3 linked regions of the Alligator mississippiensis genome follow. The main gene of each other region encodes a partner of the protein of the gene in region 2 in a complex. Links are inferred from orthologs where the notes say so. Each region holds a gene or a part of one and is shown on either strand. Other genes may lie near its edges.

The links.
Region 1: SNRPD3 (region 2) and SNRPG share a complex: the UniProt entries of both Homo sapiens proteins name them as parts of the U7 snRNP complex. The link is inferred for Alligator mississippiensis from reciprocal best matches to the Homo sapiens genes SNRPD3 and SNRPG.
Region 3: SNRPD3 (region 2) and CRIPT share a complex: the UniProt entries of both Homo sapiens proteins name them as parts of the minor spliceosome. The link is inferred for Alligator mississippiensis from reciprocal best matches to the Homo sapiens genes SNRPD3 and CRIPT.

What each region holds. Positions count from the first base shown.
Region 1 is NC_081830.1:13,252,637-13,256,380, reverse strand, and holds the start of SNRPG (small nuclear ribonucleoprotein G), read right to left. Parts: upstream 2,986-3,744; 5' UTR 2,908-2,985; intron 2,902-2,907; exon of another isoform or gene 2,813-2,901; intron 2,131-2,812; 5' UTR 2,074-2,130; coding exon 2,042-2,073; intron 592-2,041; coding exon 569-591; intron 1-568. UniProt on the Homo sapiens protein: Plays a role in pre-mRNA splicing as a core component of the spliceosomal U1, U2, U4 and U5 small nuclear ribonucleoproteins (snRNPs), the building blocks of the spliceosome.
Region 2 is NC_081833.1:19,337,924-19,341,667, forward strand, and holds the start of SNRPD3 (small nuclear ribonucleoprotein Sm D3), read right to left. Parts: upstream 2,993-3,744; 5' UTR 2,960-2,992; intron 2,660-2,959; exon of another isoform or gene 2,565-2,659; intron 2,405-2,564; 5' UTR 2,382-2,404; coding exon 2,256-2,381; intron 1,381-2,255; coding exon 1,188-1,380; intron 1-1,187. Other genes in the region: protein GUCD1, read left to right, coding at 3,235-3,565. UniProt on the Homo sapiens protein: Plays a role in pre-mRNA splicing as a core component of the spliceosomal U1, U2, U4 and U5 small nuclear ribonucleoproteins (snRNPs), the building blocks of the spliceosome.
Region 3 is NC_081824.1:199,220,412-199,224,155, forward strand, and holds the start of CRIPT (cysteine-rich PDZ-binding protein), read left to right. Parts: upstream 1-1,050; 5' UTR 1,051-1,133; coding exon 1,134-1,149; intron 1,150-2,502; coding exon 2,503-2,568; intron 2,569-3,744. UniProt on the Homo sapiens protein: As a component of the minor spliceosome, involved in the splicing of U12-type introns in pre-mRNAs. Involved in the cytoskeletal anchoring of DLG4 in excitatory synapses.

The sequences.
Region 1 (3,744 bases), on a different chromosome or scaffold from region 2:
GCTTTTTGGATGGAAATGTTAGCTTTGCAAATGAAGCACAAAATACCGCTGAAGTCATTGTAGCTTGAAAAAAAATTAAAAAGCTTCACTACACTGTAGAAGTAAAGAATCACCAATAACAGGAAGCATTTTGCCACCCTACAACTTCATGTACTGAAATGCAGCATCATTTTCAGAAAGGCAGCCAACATTAGCAAACTCTGAACTGCTAATTCAATCATGATACTCTTCAAAATGCAGGAATCAAGTCACCCCTTTTTCATGCTGACCAGATTTATGGCACCACTGCCTTTCATTCCTCCACTTAGATTAGGAACACTATGGAGAGAGACTGTCTTTTTATTCTGTATTTGCCTGTGTCTTTTACAGCAATGAGCAATACAGCAATAGGACCACATCCTCAAAGACCCTCACTTCTGTTAGCTCTCTCTCACAGCACAGTACATTCCCCTGCAACTCCCATGGGAAGACAGCACCCAGGGAAGGCTGCTGACTGGAACCAACATGCAAAGCATTGCTACACAGATGTCTAAAAAGCAGGACCTCAGAAGTGATAGAAATAACTCACATGACAGTTTTTTGTCCATGAACCTGCAATGAAAAAAAACAGAGAAGAAGCCGTCAGCCGTTATTCACAGATCTGGACTGAAAAAAATTACTCTAGATCAGGGGTGTCACCAACATGAGCTGCAGAGGAGCGAGCAGGGGCTGCACCAACACAGCCCAGCTGGTCCCTTGGCTGCTCACTCTGGAGCCTCCACTGGCCACTGCTTCTGCCCTCTGTACCCAGCCCAGGCAGAGCCTGGGCAGGGCCTGTGTATGCGGGTGGGTGGCGAGTGGCCGGAGCGTAAAGCCGGTGGTGTGTGGAGTGGTTGCACCCTCAGCATGTGGACAGAGCCGTTGACACAGGGCCCCCCAAAGCGTGGGGTCCGGGGCAGTTGCCCCAATTCACCCCTCCCCACAAGGGACATCTCTGAGCCCAAGACATGGGAAGAGCCCAATACCCTCTGCGCTAGACCAGGAGACACCCATGAGCTCACTCCATCCCCTTTGCCCTGGCTTGTAACCCTCCAGAGGGGCCACAATTTCTTCACACTGCCAAGAGGCCATTCCTAGTTTGGGGCACTGACCCAGGGCAGGCAACCGACCCCTGTTCCCTGCACAGTCTAGGTCAGGGATGGGCAAAGTCTGGCCCGCAGGCCAGATCCAGTCAGCAGCGAACTCCATTTCCCAGCACGGTTGGGGACGGTCTCCATGGAGACCAGCCACAGCCACACTGGCAGGGCTCCTGGCAAAGCAGGGCAGGGAGCTGTCCCACAGCCACTGGGATCTTCCCATAGTGGTAGCTTGCTCTGGAGACAGCGCAGAGCCACGATCCCTAGCCTGCACACCCCTGCCCAGAGTATGCAGGCTACAGATCGTGGCTCTGCCCTGGCTCCAGAGCAAGCTGCCCTTGCCGCACAATCCCAGGGGCTCTGGAACAGCCCCCTGCCCTGCTCTGACACTAGCCCGGGCCTGGTCTCCACGGCAACCCCAGCCTGGAGATTTCACAGCACAACCATAGCTGAGGTCTCCATGGAGACTGGCCCCAGCCATGCAGGCAGCAGCTGCTGGGAAATGGGAGTCCAGCTGCTGGCTGAATCAGCCATTTTGCCTCCCCTTGGTGTACCCCACTCCCCAGACAACATATTCCACCAGACACCCCCTCCCTCCCAGACATGCCCCTGCCACCAGTTACCCCCTCCCTCCACACCATGAACCCAGGAGGCTTGAAGCCCCAGCTGCCCTGCTGTTATCCCAACAGCTACTGGGGGCCTGGCTTCCCCTAGCAAAGGAAAGGTGAGGGGTGGAGGGAGAGCAGGACCCCAGTACATAGAGCCACATGGGAGGGGAACCACATGCTCAGCAGGGCTGGGGGACCATGTGGGGTGGGGAAGCCTTGGTGGGCAGGAGCCGCAGGCCAGAACAAGGTGCATGCCAGGATGCAGGGGGATGCAAGAATACGGAGTTCTCTTCCACCCCGCTCCCATCCTCCACTCACTTCTTGAGCTCAGGCGGGTGCGCTTTGCTCATGGTGCCTGCTCCCTCGGTGCCACCACAACTGCCTCACACTCAGAAATGGTTGCTCTACTGAAGGAAAAAAAAAACATAAAAAAACATTTACATTGTAAACTATATACTAATATAAAGCACTTTACGCTGCATTTCGAAACAGCAATCAGACAGGATCGAGTGAAAACTACAAAAGAGAAACAGCAAAAATGTATAAGCGCATAAGAAAACTGCATTTGTCCACTGTGAACCGTAGCTTGTCGTTAGCCACAGGAACGGTGTGCGTTCCTGCAAAATAACCACAGCTTTCTTGTTCGAGATGGAGTGAAAAAATATGACAGGCCCAGTAGCTAAACCTGACTTGGGGAATATCTCATTAATAGCCTGAGAAACACCATTTAAGTGTGCAAGTCAGCCAGCTATCAAGGTGTTCACCCATAGATGCTACCCCTGCCACACACACACACACACACACACTTCTGATAAGTCAGGAAGTCGCGCAGTGTAAGGTGAAAGCTTTGTAAGACAGGAACTGAAAACCGAGCTGTGACTTTCCCCTAAAGGCAAGCTGAAAAGCAAGGCATCTCGGCTGCTCCGCCATGTCCAGAGAAGGCCCATGGCTACATCGAGGCGTTACTTGGGACAACGCTGAAACCCCACGTGCCGGCCCCCGCCGGGAACAGCATACGCTGCCATTGCCAGTGCGGCCCCGGCCCGCGGGGAAGCGGCGGCGCCCGCAGCCGCATCCGCGCCCACGTACCGCCGGAGGCTGCAGCTGGTGCCTGAGCTCGGGTCCCGCCAGCGCCGCGTGAGGAGAGCCGGGATTTCGCGCCGAAAGGGCGAAGGGGAACGCACCTCACCGCCAATGGCGCCGCGCCGCGCTGCAGCCTGGGAGGACGGGGCGGGGATGCAAACCACACCCCTCCGCCGCCGGCCCCGCCCCGCCCCGCCCCGCCCCCCCGGCTGACCCGCGGCCAATATAGATATTACAGTGTTCAGCTCCTAACACAGAGAAGCGGGGGTGTAGGGTCGTTCAGGCAGGGACAAGCCTGGCCATGACTTATTTGTTTGTGGCACCCTTCACAGGATCTGGTGGCACCAGAGGGTGGCTCAGCGCCCCGGCTGAGAATTGCTAGTCTGATGCAATGGATTTTGTGAGAAAAGAGGTGTTTTGATTAAATGCCTCAAAGAACTTTGCTTCTTATCACGAAGTAAATCTGCCTCGCGCATGACACCCGCGCCAGCGGCCGATCGCGACGTTGGGTGGGAACTCTAGTGGAGCCAATAAGTACCAATCAGGCCTGTCAGGGTGGGCCACAACCCCCCTATAATCCCTTGAGTAGAGGCCGTGAGAACATTCAAAACTCAAAGCACGAGGTAGCTGCAATGCTGCTGAATGCACATCCTGACGGGGCGTGGTTTCATCGTTGGTCGGGTCGGAAGGGACCTGAGCAGATCATCAAGTCCGACCCCCTGCCGTGGCAGGAAAGAGCACTGGGGGCAAACGACCCTGGCAGGGTGTTCTCTTAAAGACCCCCAGAGTAGGAGCCAGCACCACTTCTCTTGGAAGTTGGTTCCAGGTCCTAGCCACCCTGACAGTGAAGTAGCGCCTCCTGATATCTAGTCTGAATCTACCCTCTGCCAGCTTGTGACCGTTATTTCTAGTCACTCCTGGGAGTGCTCGGGGGAACA
Region 2 (3,744 bases):
AGTACAAAGATATTGAGGATTATACTGGACACCAGAACTGACTCTTTCCAAAGCGGTTTCAGAACCAATATTGGTATTTTAAAAGTTTTTTGTAGAAGTGCACTGATACATTGGTCCGATATCGGATAAGCACTGGCATAAAGAAAATTGAACGTAAACCGGAAATTGGCTTGATGTGGCCAATAATTTGGCTGATAAATGCCTGTGTGCGCGCATAGCTACAGTGCAGTGCACAGTCAGCAAGGAGCACAGACTGGCAGCTTGGAGAGCTGTGTGCAGCTAGTAAGTCTGGTGTGGTAGAAGGGATGGGAAGGGGAGGGGGGAGGGCAGATCAAAAGGTCCCTGCCATGAGGGAGAAGTGAGGCTGGGGCAAGAGGTGCCCAGCTGGGACAAGGCGGGCACAGGATGGAGCTGCAGCTTGTCTTGGGTGCATGGGGCAGCTCCCACCATTGCACGCTGCTTGTCAAGGAGTCACCGGTCCAGCATTTGCCCAGTGGCTCCCACCACTCATCCGGGAGGGCATGGGGGAAGGGGGGCATGTGCCCCCAGATCTGGGAGGGGCTCTTCCCAGCCCATCACACCCAGATCGGGGGGGGGGGAATGCCACCCCCACCCCCTAGACGAGCAGCAGGAGCAGTGGTGTGAGCTGCCAGGCGAGTGCCAGCCCAGTGGCTCCCGGACAAGCCACAGCTCCATCCCACACCCTCCCCAGTTGGGCAGCACTTACCCCAGCCCCAGACCTACTCCTTCCCTCACTGCGGGGTCATTGATCTGCTCCTCCTGGCCCCTTCCACCACAACAGACTCAGCAGCTGCACACAGCTCTCCAAGCTGCTGGGCTGGTATCAGAAGTCCGATCAATACCAGCAGATGCCTCCTGAAAAGAGTCAGCTATTGGTACTTGCCTCAAAAAAAAAAAAAAATCTTCATCAGCGTACTTCCTAGGTTGTTTCTGGGGATGTGTTGTTTTTGTTTTTTAAATGAAGCACTACAAAATTTATACTGACAAACTGAAGTCCAAACTACTCAATCATTTAATTTGCACCGCAGGTTGGCAACTAAACTCCCAACTTTTATATTTTAATAATAAATTATACCAAGCCACTTGTGCTGAAGTATTCTCGATGCATCCATTTTACCATGTCAGTACGTTATCAGAAAAGCTAAGAACCAACTAGAAGTACTTACCTTGGGCTTTGAGAATAGCTGCTTTGCCTCGTCCAGCCCCCGAACCCTGGTTTTTATTCTTCATGCTCTTTAACATAGGAGCATTTTTCAACATGTCTGGCAAAATGAGGAACCGGATCTTGCTACCCCTAATGTACACCTGCTCCAGCTGTGCCACTCGCCCATCTCTGTATGTCACTGTGATATTGGACATCTGGAAGACAAAAGCTACTCAATACTTCTGACACAATGAGTTTTACCTCCAGAATTCGGGTGTGGAGTCTAGAAATAGGAAGAGCTGTTTGGGTCTAGTACACAGCAGATTTAAATTAGTTGAGCATGTAAATAACATGATGGGGAAAGAGAGAAGAGACCAAGCTACATAGCCTAGTACTTAATGAACAGCCAAGTGTTGCACAGCTGTAAATCCAGCTTGAAAGCAACAGACTGCCTTGTAGAACATTTAAATACTCTTCTTTCCTCCTGCATGTGTCAGACTGGGCATTTTAAGTCATCCGCACACTCATCTATTCACAGTATCCCAGAGGAGGGAGACTGTCCACATGGTGGCTTAAGTGTTAACACTTTAACTAGAGTAACTGCAACACATCCTGTTCCTTCGACTAACCAAATCAGAGACTTCAGGCTAACGTGGTTAACCACCTCCACACAGGCTTCTTTATAGAAAAAGATGTTTTCATGCTTCATTACTTCCATCAGCCAAGGAAATACTTTGCTCAATGTGAACATTTGGCCTCAAATCAGCCACAGTGAAGCCCCAGCCCGATTTGACACACTTTTCAAAAAAAGGCAATTATAAAATAAACTTAGGGGAAAAAAATTTCTTCTGGGGAAGGAAGGAAGAACTCAAGCTGGCTGATGATATGAGAAGCTCTTGTCACCAGCACCACATACTCAGACCTGGTAAAAGGATAAGTGTCTGTTTATGGTAGAAACAGAAGCGGCCTCAGAAGCAAGCTGAGATGTGCAGCTCCCTGCTTTCCGCTTCAGCACTGCAGTGTTTTACCAACCCTAAGCCCGTCACTCAGACAAGCACCTGAGGTAGAGTAGGGGCCTCACCCGGCCTACCTGGCAGTTCATGTTGTCCTCGGCCTCGATGAGCTTGCCCCGATACACCTCCCCCGTGTTAGTCTCGCACGTCACGATGTGGCCCTCGGCCTCGTGCAGCACCTTGATGGGCACCCCGATCGACATCCCAGCGGCGGCGCGGCTCTACCCTGCGGGAGAGAACAAGACAAGGCGGGGGCGGTCAGCGCCTCCCGCGGGCTCTGCCCGGGGTCCCGTCACGGCAGAAGGCGCCTCGACGCGCTCTGGGGAAACAAATACGCCGCCCCTAAGAGACGCCAACCGCGGCCAACTCCCCCGGCCGCCACCCACCGTTAGCACGAAGCTCACAACGTGCGGCCCGCAGCAGCGCTCTAATGGCCTCTCGCACTTCCCGCCCTGCCCCGCGCGCCGGAACCGGAAGTCCGGCGTCCAGCTCTAAGCCGCGGCGCCCCGGCTCTATGGTCGAACGGGGACGCGCCACTCGGGTGTCCCCGCGCTAAGGGGCCGGCGGGACGCGGCGGCCAGGGGGAAGGTTCCGCCCGCGTCCTGCTCCCGCCTCCCCCCGCCGAGTGGCGACAGGGTGCCTCCGCCCACGCACGCCATGCGCCCTCGGCAGCAGCGTGCCCCACCCGGCCCCGGGCACTTGCACAGGAGCCCCCTCATGCCCCCTCTCCCTGTGGGGCGCGGGGAGAAGCCCCTTCGGCGACCGCCCGTGGCCCCCCGACCTGTCCCGGTGCAGCTGGGCGCGCACGGTCCCCTTCCCGCTCCTCCCCCTCCCGCCTGGGCCGCCCCCGGCCCCGCCCCGCCCCGCCCGACAGCAGCGCCGGGGCGCGCAAAAGGCGGCGGCGCCGGCATGAGGGGACCCCCGCAGCCCGGCTCGGCCCCCGGCCACTGAGGCGGCGCCATGAAGAGCCCCCGGGAGGCCGGGCCGCCGCCCGCCGAGCCGAGGCCGGGGCCGGGGCCGGGGCCGCCCGCAGGTCAGTGCGGCCCGCCCGCCGGGATGGGGCAGCGGCTGCGGGCGGCTCCCCGCGCTGCCCGGCCCTGGGAGGCCTCCAGCGCCGCGGGCCCCGGGGGTGGGGGCGAGGATTTGTGTCCGCAGCCTGCTCCGCCTCCGGCCTTGCTGCCGGCCGGCCCCGTACGGGCTCGGCGACGCGGGCAAGAGGCTCCCGGCATCCATCCAGGAGACTCGGCCAAGCCTCGGGCTTCACTTGTTGCTGCTCCGCGCTGCTGCAGGGCCGAGGCTTGTCCGCTGCGCCGGGGTCCGCGGCCAGCGCAGCCCGCGCTCTGGGTCGGCCCCCCGGTCCCTGCTGTCTGGCCGGGGCAGAGAGCAGGTGCTGACGGGGAGGGCGACCCGGGTCTGATGTCCCGCTGTGCCTCTCCCACTTGTAGCCTCCAGGATTTGCGGTCGAGGCATCCCTGGTTCACAGCCGCCAGCCCCCGCTCCCGCGCTCAGTAGCAACTGACTGCTGTCCCTTCCCTCCAAGGACCCGTTGTCCCCTGGCCGTGGGCA
Region 3 (3,744 bases), on a different chromosome or scaffold from region 2:
GGCCTGAGTGGGGGAGGAATCTGCTCTGAACGCCATAAACACTGCTGTGGTTGAAAACAGGAGGGAGCCCCCAGAGCTTCCCCAACATCCCTCTGGTGACAGAGTGCTGGTGTGGGGCTGGCAGCACAGATGTGCACCCTCGCCAGGCCATGGCCTACCAGTGCAAGGAAGTGGCTGATGTGTACGTGTAAGTGTATGCATAGGTACAGGAGCATGTGCAAGTATGCATACACGTGCAGGTGTGTGTGTATGCATGTGTGTGCAAATGTGTGCGTGCATACATGTATGCATACAGGTATGTGTATGCAACCATGGGCACGAGTGCAGGAGTTAGTGCATGTGTAGGCATACATGTATGTGCAAGTGTGTGCATGTGTATACATAGGCAGGCTATGTTCTTTGAATAGATGTGATCTCTTTTATTAGACCAACAGAGCGGTTGGAAAAATGTTTTTGGCAAGCTTTGGGGTGCAATCACCCTTCTTCAGGAAAGGAGAGTCTCTGCTGATCAGAGACTCCCCATATATATGTATACACCCACGTATGTGTAGGTGCACATGTGTGTAAGCGTACATGTGCATATATGCAGTGTGTGGGTATGCATGTGTGTGTCTGTTCAAGTGTGCAGTGTGTGCAGGTGCATGTATGTGTAAGTATGTGTGGGTGTATATGTACATGTATACAATCTGCGTGTGCATACTGGCACATGTACATGCATGCAAGTGAGGGTGCGGCCGGCAGGTGTGTGTGAGTATACATGTGTGCTTCCGTGCCTACGCACAGGCTAGGCCAGGTCTGCATCACCACGACACTCTTGTCACAGGCAGGGTGCGTGAAGACGAGTTGCAGAGGGGGGAGGGGGGGGATCCCGGCCGTTGCCCGCCCCACCCCCCGCTCTCACCTGCGTCTCCCCCGCGCCGCCGCTCCTCGAGCCCGAGGTCAAAGGTCACCAGCCACCGCCCCCTCACCCGTACACAGCGCACAGGCGGCGATCCGTGAACAGGCGCCGGCCGGTGATGGACGGCTTGCGGCGGCCAATCCGCGCGAGGGCCGGGTCGGGCCGGGGGCGGGACAGGAAGTGCGCGCCGGGAAGTGCAGCTGTCAGTGTTTACCTCCCCGCCGCCGCCATCACTATGGTCTGCGAGAAGTGTGAGTGCACAGGGCCCTGCCTCCCTGTCCCGCGGGGCCGATCCCCATCCCCCGGGGGGGAGGGGCCGGGGCAACGCTGGCTGCCATCGGCAGCACTCACCCACCCCTAACCCCCTTCTTCCGGGCTGCATTCGGCCTCGGGAGCCCGGCTCCGCCCCCTCGCAGCCCCCGGACCGGGATTGCCCCCCCCTAGGGCTACCATATTTCCAGGTCCAAAAAGAGGACACCTGTCACGGGTGGGGAGTGACCTGCCCCTGCCCCTGCCAGACAAAGCTAACCCCCTGAAGCCCTGCTGCTTCCCCTCCCCTCACTCTGGACCCACTGACCCCCGCCCTGCCAGTGCCCTTCACTCCCACCCCCCAGTCCCCTGCTCCCTCCCAGTCCTGGTGGTGACCCTCACTCCATGACCCCCACAGTGCTGCCAGTGTCCCTCACTGTGGACCTGTAGCCTCTGCCCCCCCAGCTCTGCTGGTGCCCCTCACTCTTGACCTGCAGACCCCTGCCTCCCCTGCCCTGCTGCCCAAGCAGCTCCTGCATTGCGAGCATGCCCGTGTGCTCTCTCGCTCTTTCTGGTTACACCTGGCTTGTTGAAGCTGGTGTGGGGAGCATGTGGCCCCTGACAGCCAATCGCCTTGCCCAGCTTGGAGCAGCCAGCCCTGGAAAGGAGAAAAACTGGACATTTGCTATTATTTTAAAAACCTGCCCGGATGCAGCATAGGAGTCAAAAAAGAGGACATATCCAGGAAAACCCAGAGATATGGGAACTCTAGTACCTGGAGCCTGGTCCCAACCCTTCGTATCTCCCTTAGGCCAGAATTGGCCCCTGGGAGCCTGGCTCCACCCCCACCCCTGGCTGGGATTGCGCCTTGGGAACTTGCCTTCCTCCATCTCCACTGAGATTGGGCTGCCAGGAGCCTGGCCCCGACACCCTCGTAGCCTCTCTGGCCAGGATTGGGCCCTGGGGGTGGGCACTGCCCTGCCTGGCTCTGCAGACTGTGGTGGGGCCCAGTCCAGTGCAGGGCCTGGGGCTCCCCACAGGCCTGGGAGTTTGGCCATAGGGGAGCAGTGCCACAGCCCCCCACCACCCTATTTCCAGACCTGTGGGGAGCCCACGGGCCGATGGCATGACACCGTGGGCTGGGGGTTGAGCTCCCGTGTTACAGTGCACGCCCCTTCACAGAGGGGCCCCAACAGGGACAAGCCTGAGCCTGCAGCTGTATCTGCTTATCCCTTCCCACCTCGGGGTACTTGGGGGTACCCTGCTTGGGGCTTGTGGCTTTAGTAGAAACCTTCTTTTTGGCATTTTCACTTACATCTCCTTGCTTTTTCCTCTTCTGTCTTTTTGTGCCATAGGTGAGAAGAAACTGGGCACTGTGATTACCCCTGACACGTGGAAGGATGGGGCTAGAAACACTACAGGTACTCTTTTTACTTTATTTGTTTATTTGAAGTATTTTTAAGCATTTACTTAGAGAAATCGTAGTATTCATTACTCAGTAAGCATTGAACCAGTTAGGTAATTAAAAGGCTCTGTGAAGCATCTTACAGCTCTGACAGCATGAAGCAGCTGGCCTGTTCCTTTTCTTCACTTTAACGTACTGCAGCTTCTTTTTCATTTTCTGTGGGAAATGTCACAATTCTGACTTCTCGGTACTGCATTCCTCCAGCCATGATTTGTTCCAGTGTGAAGTAATGATACTTATCATGTGTATTGACGTATGTGTGTACTGGAGAAGTGCATAATTCACCTAATGGAATAATACAGTGCCAGTCTCAGTTTTACACTGCAACAAATGTCAGTCAGCCTCTTGGCTAATCATATAAATTATGCCTGCCTAGGAACCTTTTTGGCCTGGTGTCTTTGTAATATACTCTGTTTAACTGCATAAGAATCGGTGACATTAACTAGCAGCAAAACTGACTAGCAGCTCAATTGTCAGGCTTTTAAGAGCAACCCAGAAACTAGCTTGGTCCTGTCAGGTTGAAGACTCTTGTTAGAGACATAAGGGCTCTGAGTAGCAAAGTAAAGAGACTTAATGAAGTGCAAGCTTCTCAGTGCAAGGCATTTTGTCTGAATTTATTAACTAATTCATCTTATATAGTGCCTTTAGTATTGAAATCAGTAGGCTTATACTGTACTTTGCACACGAGTTATTGTCTTCTGTAGCTGTTGGGTGTTTTTTAGGTTAAATTCAGATGAGTGAAAACTTATACTTTTTAGTGCCAAGGTATGTACTTTCATGGACTACGTTGCTTAAACAGAACATAAAGTCCTTTTGTTGCCTCACATTTTAGTCCTAATATGTATACAATATTCAGTTTCTACCTGCCAGCTTTGCTTTTAATTGCGTATTCTAAGACTTGGCTTTGAATTTGCTGTTCTTTGAGCTGACTAGTTAGTCTGCATACATTTGGTTATTCTTGGCCATTTATAGGCCTTTGGCTTGTATGTTGCCTCATGCCATCACATATTTAGTAGTTAAAAAAATCCATATCCTAAACAAACAAATACTAGCTTTAAAATAGGATGATGAAGTATAATTCAATATTTACACTCCTATGAGAGAAAGGAGGGGGTACTAGTAGTTCAGGCAC